Linked DNA regions of Nothobranchius furzeri. The protein of the gene in region 2 interacts with the protein of the main gene of each other region in a biochemical or structural test. Links are inferred from orthologs where the notes say so. Each region holds a gene or a part of one and is shown on either strand. Other genes may lie near its edges. The genes, in order: gna12a and araf.

Region 1 (4,578 bases), on a different chromosome or scaffold from region 2:
AGCCAGTGCAAGTCTGAAATAGCCTAGAAATGTAGACGGATAGTGATAGAAGCTAAATTATTTTGCTCTACATGTCGTTCTAGTCACACTCCATAGATCCGAACAGTCTTGTGGCTTGCCAGTCAGAGCTCAATCGTTTTGGTGGGCCAATCACAGCGCTCTTTCGGTTTGGTGGGCAGGACGATGCAACAAATTGGAGCAATTAAGATAAATGACCTGCACTTGTATAGCGCCTCTCAGAGTAAGGACTCCAAAGTGCTTTACACTACAGTGTATCATTCATCCATTCACACACTGATGGTGATGAGCTACAATGTAGCCACAGTTGCCCTGGGGCGCACTGACAGAGGCGAGGCTGCCGAGCACAGGCACCACAGGACCCTCCGACCACCATTAGCAGGCAAGGTGGGTTAAGTGTCTTGCCCAAGGACACAACAGCAGAATTATCTGTCCGGAGCCGGGATCGAACCTGCAACCATCCGATTACTGGACAACCCGCTCAACCTGTTGAGCTACTGCTGCCCCTAAGATGGTGATGGCTCATTTGAAACGGCTTTAGCATCGACTTTGGACTATTTAGACTTGTGCTTTTCTTTGAGTCAAGGGAAGATAGAGGTACTACATTCCTTTGTTTAGAAAAATTAGGTATTTGTGTCTTCTTCAACAGTGTATGGTGGACTGCTCTGTTGATTGTCAGAGGTGAGTATGTAACAATGTTCATTGTCCAATAGCATGCAGAGACAGTTTGAAAGACAACCACAGATTTCACCCTATAGATGATCTCTCTCTCTGAGTTGTGGCCAGACTATATATTCACATATATAGGGTGGCTTGCCAGGCTATTTCTGAAACAGTCCAGGTAAGAAGGGATGCGCCGCTGAAGTCTCATGAAAATGCTTCAGCTACATACAGGAAAAGCCTGGGTTGGTTAAAACAAAAAGTTGGTTTACATTTCTGTCAAAGAAAGAGTAAATGCCAAACATTGTAAGAAATATTCACAGAAATTTAAAAAAAAAAACAACAATTTGACGTTTTAATCCAGATCCCAAAAAATCTGAGCAGTAAACAAGTTGATAGCTATGAACTTCTGACCTGCGCTGCACCAAAAACAGAGATGACTCTGGAGTTTGAAATAATAAACACGACTTAGTTTCAGAAATAATAACAGTAAACTGGTTAACGCCAAACAAATGACAAGAACACACTTACATCCTCTGAAATAAAGAAATGAAATTAGCAGGAAAAGTCAGTTTTGTGTAAAGAATCAAAGTTTCAAACACCCAGCTTGTTATCAGGAGGGCATTTCCAACACAAACATCTGTGCAAATGCAGATCCTTGCCGCTAATGTTGCACAATATCTACAGTTCTAGCGCCATATGCTGCCATCTAAGCAGGATCCTTTAAGAACCCGCTTAGTTCAGCAAGATAAACTTCAAACCTCATCAACATGTATTAAGAGTCGAAAAGTGTGTGTGCTGATCTGCAGTTCAGACTTCCACACACAGTGGATAACATTTGCCCACAAAGTCACATGTTTTACTGAGATCAATACAATGCATTGCTTAATTTCCTGCAATCTTTAAATGGGTTATTGGTTTCAGATTTTTTTCAAAACTGTAAGAGGATGATTACGCAGGAGTGTGTGAATGGATGAATGATACACTGTAGTGTAAAGCGCTTTGGAGTCCTTACTCTGAGAGGCGCTATACAAGTGCGGGTCATTTATCATTACGCAGGAGGAGGATTGTGTTTGGGATCTGACTTGAGACAGGACAGCAGCTCGTGTTTGGGGGAGGGTTATGAATGCTGTCTTGTCTGTGTTGGAGTGCAGGCTCTTATCTCCCTAGTCTGGGCTGTATGGTACTCAGGGCGGATGTGCTCATCCCTCAGGAATAGTCTGGTATTGTTAGCTGGTGAAGGAGGCCCAGTCATGACGGCAAACAAAAGAACACACACACACACACACACACACACACACACACACACACACACACACACACACACACACACACACACACACACACACACACACACACACACACACACACACACACACTTCAGGATAAAAATATGCACTGTGTCAACAGAACTCGCATGTGTGTTTTAGAGAGTGAGTGAATCACACCTTGGTTAAAATGGCTTTAAATTATTGACCTATAAGGCATCATTTAACCTAGAAATAATTTCCTGGTTTAATAAATACTTTTAGAACAAAAGTGTCTTTACACAGAAAGGGGTCAAAGTTCATACCTGTCTCTTTGACTATTTGAAAACAACTTATTGTTTGTTTTATTCAGTTTCCCACCATGAATGATACAAAACATCTGACCTCTGTAATTGAGAAATAAACTGATGTTTACCTTATCAGCAGTAATGTTGTTGCTCTATACCTCATCTAGTTGATTAATCAATAAAATCAAAGTGTTGATCAATATCAAATGTAATGATCCTTTATTATAAATGATCTGATGACTTTTACAGGTTTAACCTACTTTTTCTGATAAATAAACGTCACTGTGACCTGATAAAGCATGAGTGAACTTTGTTCCTACCTTCAGTATATTTTCATAGATAGTGTCCCGAAAGTCCAGGAGCGCTTTCTGATCAAACTCTTGTCCGTTAATGATGCGCATCTGCTTCAGGAATGTGGACTTTCCGCTCTCTCCGGCCCCGAGGAGGAGGATCTTCACCAGACGCCTCACGGCTCTCCTCTCCCGGGCCAGCATGGCGTCTATCTCCCGGCTCCTGCGCCTCGCCTCCCGCTCCTGCGCCGCGTCCCTCTGCCGGCTCCCCTCCTTGCTGCCGCCCGGGTCCCGGCTGGCCTCGGCCGGGAGCAGGCAGCGGCTCAGGGTGCGGACCACTCCCGACATGGCGAGTCGTGAGAAAGGAAAAAAGTTTACCGAAACTCCAGTGGGAAAATGTTCATTCTAGACTCGTGACCTCTGGGGTGGAAACGGCCCAGTTCGGCTACATCCAGCGGGTTGTAATGTTACATTAAACCTTTATCTAGACTCCCCCCGGCAGACAGCCCGTGTCCATCTTGGTTAGACCGCTCCATCAACAGGAAAACAACTCTCTAGCTGGAGAAACTAATCCTTGAACGCTTAAAAGTCCAAATTAGGGACAGAAAATGTGGTTTAAACTGACCTGAAGTTAGTGTATCCATGCAAAGAAAAACAATGCTTCAGGCAGGGAAATCTCACAGTGGGACAGCCTAACTACCCAAGCATCCAGCGGTTTGTGAACTAAGAGCAGCCCCCCCGCGGGCGGCAGGGGACGGTCACAGGACGAGGGGGCGCCGGAGGAGTACCGGAGCTCACCGACAGGGGGCGCCAGCGGAAACAATGAGCAGTGTAAATGAAGGGATTTTAGTGGTTCTGTTGATTTTGTTTACTAGTAATGATAAAGTTCCATTTTTATAGAGCACCTTTAACAGCGAATTAACAAGTAGAATTTACTTATGGAAAAAATGAGACAGTGGCGTGAGAAGCATGAACATCTTTAAAAAAATACTGGTGCAATACAAAAATTAGAAGATGGTGCAAAAGTTCTTTTATGTTTTTAAATTAAACTTAAAACGTGAAACTGATACAGGAGACAGACTCATTCCATGCAAAGCCAGATATTTCAAGCCTTTATATGTTATAATTGTGATGATTACGGCTTACAGCTTATGAAAACTCCACATTCAAATTCTTACACATAATATTGTAAAAGGTTCAATATTCTAGACTCAAAGTGCCGCTCACTAATCAGCTAATGAATCCAAACACCTGCAAAGGGTTCCCGAGCCTTTAGATGGTTGCTTCATTTAAACTGGATTACTGGATGAATGGACTTTGGCACCTTATTCTAATTTTCAAGTTTCAGTTGTAGACCAGAAATCTTTGTATTTGTCTGTTGTAGAAACGTGAACCCACGATGTCATGTTTACATATGCTGCCTTGTTGGATATTTGGAACCTGACTCTGAACACACAGGATCTCATGGTGAAGATGCTACATCACCTCAAAATGAAGTAGTGCATTATTCCTGCAGCATTTATATATGCAGCATAATTCTGATTTTGTTTGCTATGTTTAAGTGATGTTTGAAATGCAAAACACTGCAGCATACTATAGTGTGCATGTGTGAGTGAGTGAACCAGTGACTATTTTGCACACAGCTAAAGTTAATCTATGAAGCCACTGCTTCAAGTCATAAGTTTAGACTTTTTAAAAGTTAGCCTACATTGTTTCTCTTTGCATTTTGTGAAAGAAGAGCTATACTATCCTTAGTTGCTTCAGACAGTGCAGTGATTGAGGATTTGCATTATCACACTGAGATACCAGTGTTTTTCAGTATAAGCCATGTGGTCATCCAACATGTTATTGCATGGTTGGGACTGCATGATGAGTGCACAAATCTTTGTTGGATTGGCTCTTTAAATGTTTTAGCTTTCTTTAAATGACCTTAAAACCTGACCAAACACTGCATTATTGTATGATAGGCCGCTAAGACGAGGAGCATGTATGAAGGGAGGGGCGATTACAAGGTGAAAAGAGCTGGGCTGATTCAAAGAAAGCCAGCGCAGGTGT
Region 2 (4,342 bases):
CCTTCAGACATGTGTTGAAAATGCCCAAGTCCATACTTTTGAGAGCACCTGTGTGTGTACACGCACTTGCTTATGTAAGGTTTCTCTATAGGAGCATCCAATAGAGAGTGTGAGGGGCCACAGATCTGCCCCCAAAGATGTGTAGAAGACAGAGGGAGCTCCAAGTCCCAGAGATCCATGAGCTGCCCCAGAGCGCAGGGACCCCAGGGAGACTGTAACCAGTAAAGCCCCCCTCTCGAGAGGCGCAGAGGATTGCCCCAGGGGGACACAACCAGCAGCCGGCAGAGTCCGGGGAGATATCAGTGGCAAGCCCACAGGCCCGCCCGCAGCCTCCCACCCCCAAGCCAACCGAGCCTGGAACCCAGCGACCCGGGACCCATCCCTTCTTGTGATGTTGCAAAATAGCAGAGGTGTGGACTCGAGTCACATGACTTGGACTCGAGTCATTATTTTAATGATTTCTGACTTGACTTGATAAAATCTATAATGACTTACGACTTGACTCGGACTTGAATGCCAATGACTTGCGACTTGAATCAACTTGAACCTGCTGACTTGATGATGACTTGAGCATATTTGATATTTTAGAACAAAAGTGGCATGACATGGAAAAAAAATCATAAATCATTCTTCATTCTGGGTTTGATCTTGTACTGCTAAATGCAGCAGCACTTTGTTTATAATCAGTTTCAGTTGCACTTCCTGCTTGTTTGAGCAAATAAATGAAGCTTTAAGAAGCTTTTTTTCTGGATTTTATTTATTATCATTGTCATTAAATTGAAGTTGGACAGATGACTTGATTACGACTTGAAAATTCAAAGTTAAGGACTTGGACTTGACTTGGACTTTCACATCACTGACTTTGGACTTGACTTGGACTTGATTGCCTTTGACTTGGACTTGACTGGAAAGACTTGTGACTTACTTGTGACTTGCAAAGCAGTGACTTGGTCACGCCTCTGCAAAATAGAACATTTACATCGAAGACCAGCTATCTGAGCTCCTGACGTCATAGTGGTAGGTGTGGCCAGCAACAGTTCATTTACATTAAAGTGGCACAGCTCATTATGGAAGGCACTGAAAACCTAAAAAAAATTAACTGGTGACATTACTTTATGTGAGAGCGATTTTGTGCAAAGAATTTCTTGTACATGTTTTGTATAAACCATCAAACAATAATTTCTTGTTTAAATGTCTAAGTAAACATATGAAATATCCCCTTTAATGATTGCACCAAAACAAACTAATTTTTCTTCATTCAGCAGAGTATGAAAAGTGTGTGAATGAATAGTAATGGGTTAGCTGTAAATCGCTTTGGGAGCCTTGAAAAGCGCTAAATAAATCTAATACATGAAAAATTGTTCTATTCAATTGAAGACATGAAAAGCGGCCACGGACCGCCCCCTACATGCCCAGCCTTGATCTGTCCAATGAGCGAGTGGGAGCACAGAGATCAGCCAATGAGAACGCAGCATGGTGCTTTCCTACTTTCCCTGAAGTTCTTGACAGATCCGACTTCAGATTGAGAGCGTTCAAGATGGCTGCCACAGGTAAGACTAACTAATCAAACTGTCTGGAAACACATCCGAACTGGGACGTGTCGGAGTAACTTTTAGCCACCCAACTAGTTCGTGATGTGCTGAGCGTGTCAGTGGATGGGTCGGTGTTCCGGGAAGCAGGCACCAGACCGGCGCGATGGGTCGGCGAATCCCCACAGGTTTGGCTAATGTTAGCCGCCTAGCATCCAAGCGCTTTACGGTGTGCGGAATCGGAGATAATCTTATCCACTAACGTTTAGCTTTGCAGATGCTTGCTCGAATTTGAGATTTATCAACAAATGATAGCATTTAAACTCAACATTATTTACATGTGTGATTTTGTGTCCGTGAACCAAAGAAGCCTCTTAAAAGTTACAGGCTACTTAGCTAAAGTTTTGTTAAGTAGCGCCAGAGAGAACTATGGCCTCAGAAAACCCCAGTTGTTGGAGCAAATGGAGACCGGCTAGCAGGAGCTCCGGTAAAGTAAAGCTCCGCCACACTTACGTCTGATTAGCTGCTCTAAGGACACGGTCCACGCTCTGCGCATGCCCCGTTGGTTGCTGTAGTGGCTACTGGGAACTGTGGGATGTGCCGCAATGGGTTTACTCTACCAGAAACAAATTTAAACAGTTTTCACACTTTAATGTGGGCCAGAAAAACTTGACACACCAGGACAGAGTAACGAGTTTCTTTTACGGAGCTCAAGATGGCCTTCGATGGGAAACCGGCATTGAATGCATTCATGAACACTTCCTTTGCATTTTATTATAAATGTTAGATTTGCAGAAAAGTTAGGAGGGAAATATGGTTACTCATTTCCCAAAGACTAATTAATTTAAAGGTCATCCAAATGTGCAGTGTCTACCTCTGGGTCACTGTTGCTGCAGATGAGCCTGTTGGGAATTATGTCCAATAAAGTTCTGGTGGATCTCCTCCACCAGAACTTTGTGGGTGGAGGTTGATCGGGACATTTTCCCAATTAAAGTTTAATAATGATTATGTTTCAGTAGCTTGTGATGGCATGAAGTACAGAGAGATGGGCCTGGAGCCTTGACCTTCCATGGTCATTCAGAGACCCCTGTAACATCCTTGTATATAATATCTCTAGACAAGGCTGCTTTACTTGTATAGCACAGTCATACACAGTAGCAATTCAGTGTGCTTTCCAGGAGCAAGAGCAGCAGGGAGGCTCCGATGCACCAGTTTCAGGAAGTACCAGTCAGATGGAGAAGGTATTTAGATTGCAGAATTTGGAGTCTTATTTCCTGATATCTGGACATCTCTCCTCTGATTGGGTAACAGCAACATGTCTCTACCACTGACTCTGTTTGGGCTGCAATATAGATATTTTATCTCTACTAATTACACTAGCCTGAAGGAGTTCTGCCATGTTGGAGCGTTACTAATGCTAACAGTTAGCTAGCTTCTACTAGCAGAGATGTTCTCTGCTGTTTCCTGGATGCTAATCCAACAAGAGCCTTCTCCATCGTGAGTCAAGATGAATGAATCCATGAGCGTTACCCCTTCTTTCCACCGGAGCCGTCAGCAGCACGTTACTGCAGCAGCACATCTTGCTCGCGTAAGCTGCTGCTTGGCCCTTCCCACGAGACGCGAAGCAGCAGGGGAGCAGCTGTCACCGACAGAGCACAAAGTCACACGAGTGACGTCGTCAGTAAACACAACAACAAGCAGGAGAAAACTACAACATGGCTCCAAAATGTTTGTGTTTTATGTTCTGTCTGTTTTATAATCGCCAATACGGACCTGAAAAACAAAGGAGACCGCTAACTAGGTGATAACTTCTCACGGGGACGCACAGTTAGTAACTTTTGTAAAAGTAAAGCAACCGGAATGAAGTACGTTTCTTTATTCTGAAAATCTCGGGAGCTTCTCTCCATTTCCGCGTCCGATTTCCTGTCTTTCCTTCCCCAAAAATGTTGAACTTGACCCGTTTCAGAGGCGTCGTGCGTAGAAAGTAGAACCGGCGCGTAAAGGCCGCGACATGCTGCTCCTGAGACGCGGCCGACTCGCGCTGCTGACGGCTCCAGTGGAAAAGGTTCTGTTGACCACAGCGGTTCCTATCAGCAGCTATGACGTGCTGCTGCAGTAACGTGCTGCTGACGGCTCCCGTGGAAAGAAGGGGTTAGGTGACAGTGTGGCGTAGATCTGTCAGGATTTTCTTATCCTAGAGTTTTACTGTCTATTTTCTATCAGAAGCTAATGCAGAAGATAGGTGTAGGAGACTATTTTCATGTTCAACCTGCATGAAAAAATCAGAATGACTGATTATAATCATAAATAATCATGACAATGTTTTTTAGTGTTTCACTCCTTTAATCCTGGCGAGTCAATCCCACCCTCAGTGGCTGAAGCTGAGTAAAAAGCTGCTATCCCTGCTGTTTGGTTTTTTTTTCTGCTGGTCCGCCCCCTAAAGTGTCCAGGCGGCATGTGTAACTTTTATGTTCCTGCTACTTTTTGCAGAAGATTTTTGGCATTTATTTGTAAATGTTTACAAATAAACTTTGAATCGGCACGTGTCACATCACGATGCCTCGATTAAATGGTGAATCTGCACACCCCCTTATCGTGCGATGAGAGTCTGGCCTTGACGCAGCATGTTAACACCAATAACAGCCCACCCCTAATTATGATATATTTCACCATGGAGTTGTTACTGTCCTCTTGCCAATTACTAGATGCTAATAATATTGTTCCAATGTAGGATTACATGTCTAAAAATCACGTTTTTTTTATTTAGCGTGATGAGCTTCGTCATTATGAGATTTCTATGTTTCTCTGCCCCA

Evidence for each region.
Region 1: the proteins of araf (region 2) and gna12a form a complex in vitro, tested with the Homo sapiens proteins (2 studies listed by BioGRID). The link is inferred for Nothobranchius furzeri from reciprocal best matches to the Homo sapiens genes ARAF and GNA12.

What each region holds. Positions count from the first base shown.
Region 1 is NC_091744.1:16,147,159-16,151,736, reverse strand, and holds the start of gna12a (guanine nucleotide-binding protein subunit alpha-12), read right to left. Parts: upstream 3,103-4,578; 5' UTR 2,872-3,102; coding exon 2,554-2,871; intron 1-2,553. UniProt on the Homo sapiens protein: Guanine nucleotide-binding proteins (G proteins) are involved as modulators or transducers in various transmembrane signaling systems. Activates effector molecule RhoA by binding and activating RhoGEFs (ARHGEF12/LARG).
Region 2 is NC_091757.1:26,541,456-26,545,797, reverse strand, and holds the start of araf (serine/threonine-protein kinase A-Raf), read left to right. Parts: upstream 1-1,475; 5' UTR 1,476-1,550; intron 1,551-4,342. UniProt on the Homo sapiens protein: Involved in the transduction of mitogenic signals from the cell membrane to the nucleus. May also regulate the TOR signaling cascade. Phosphorylates PFKFB2.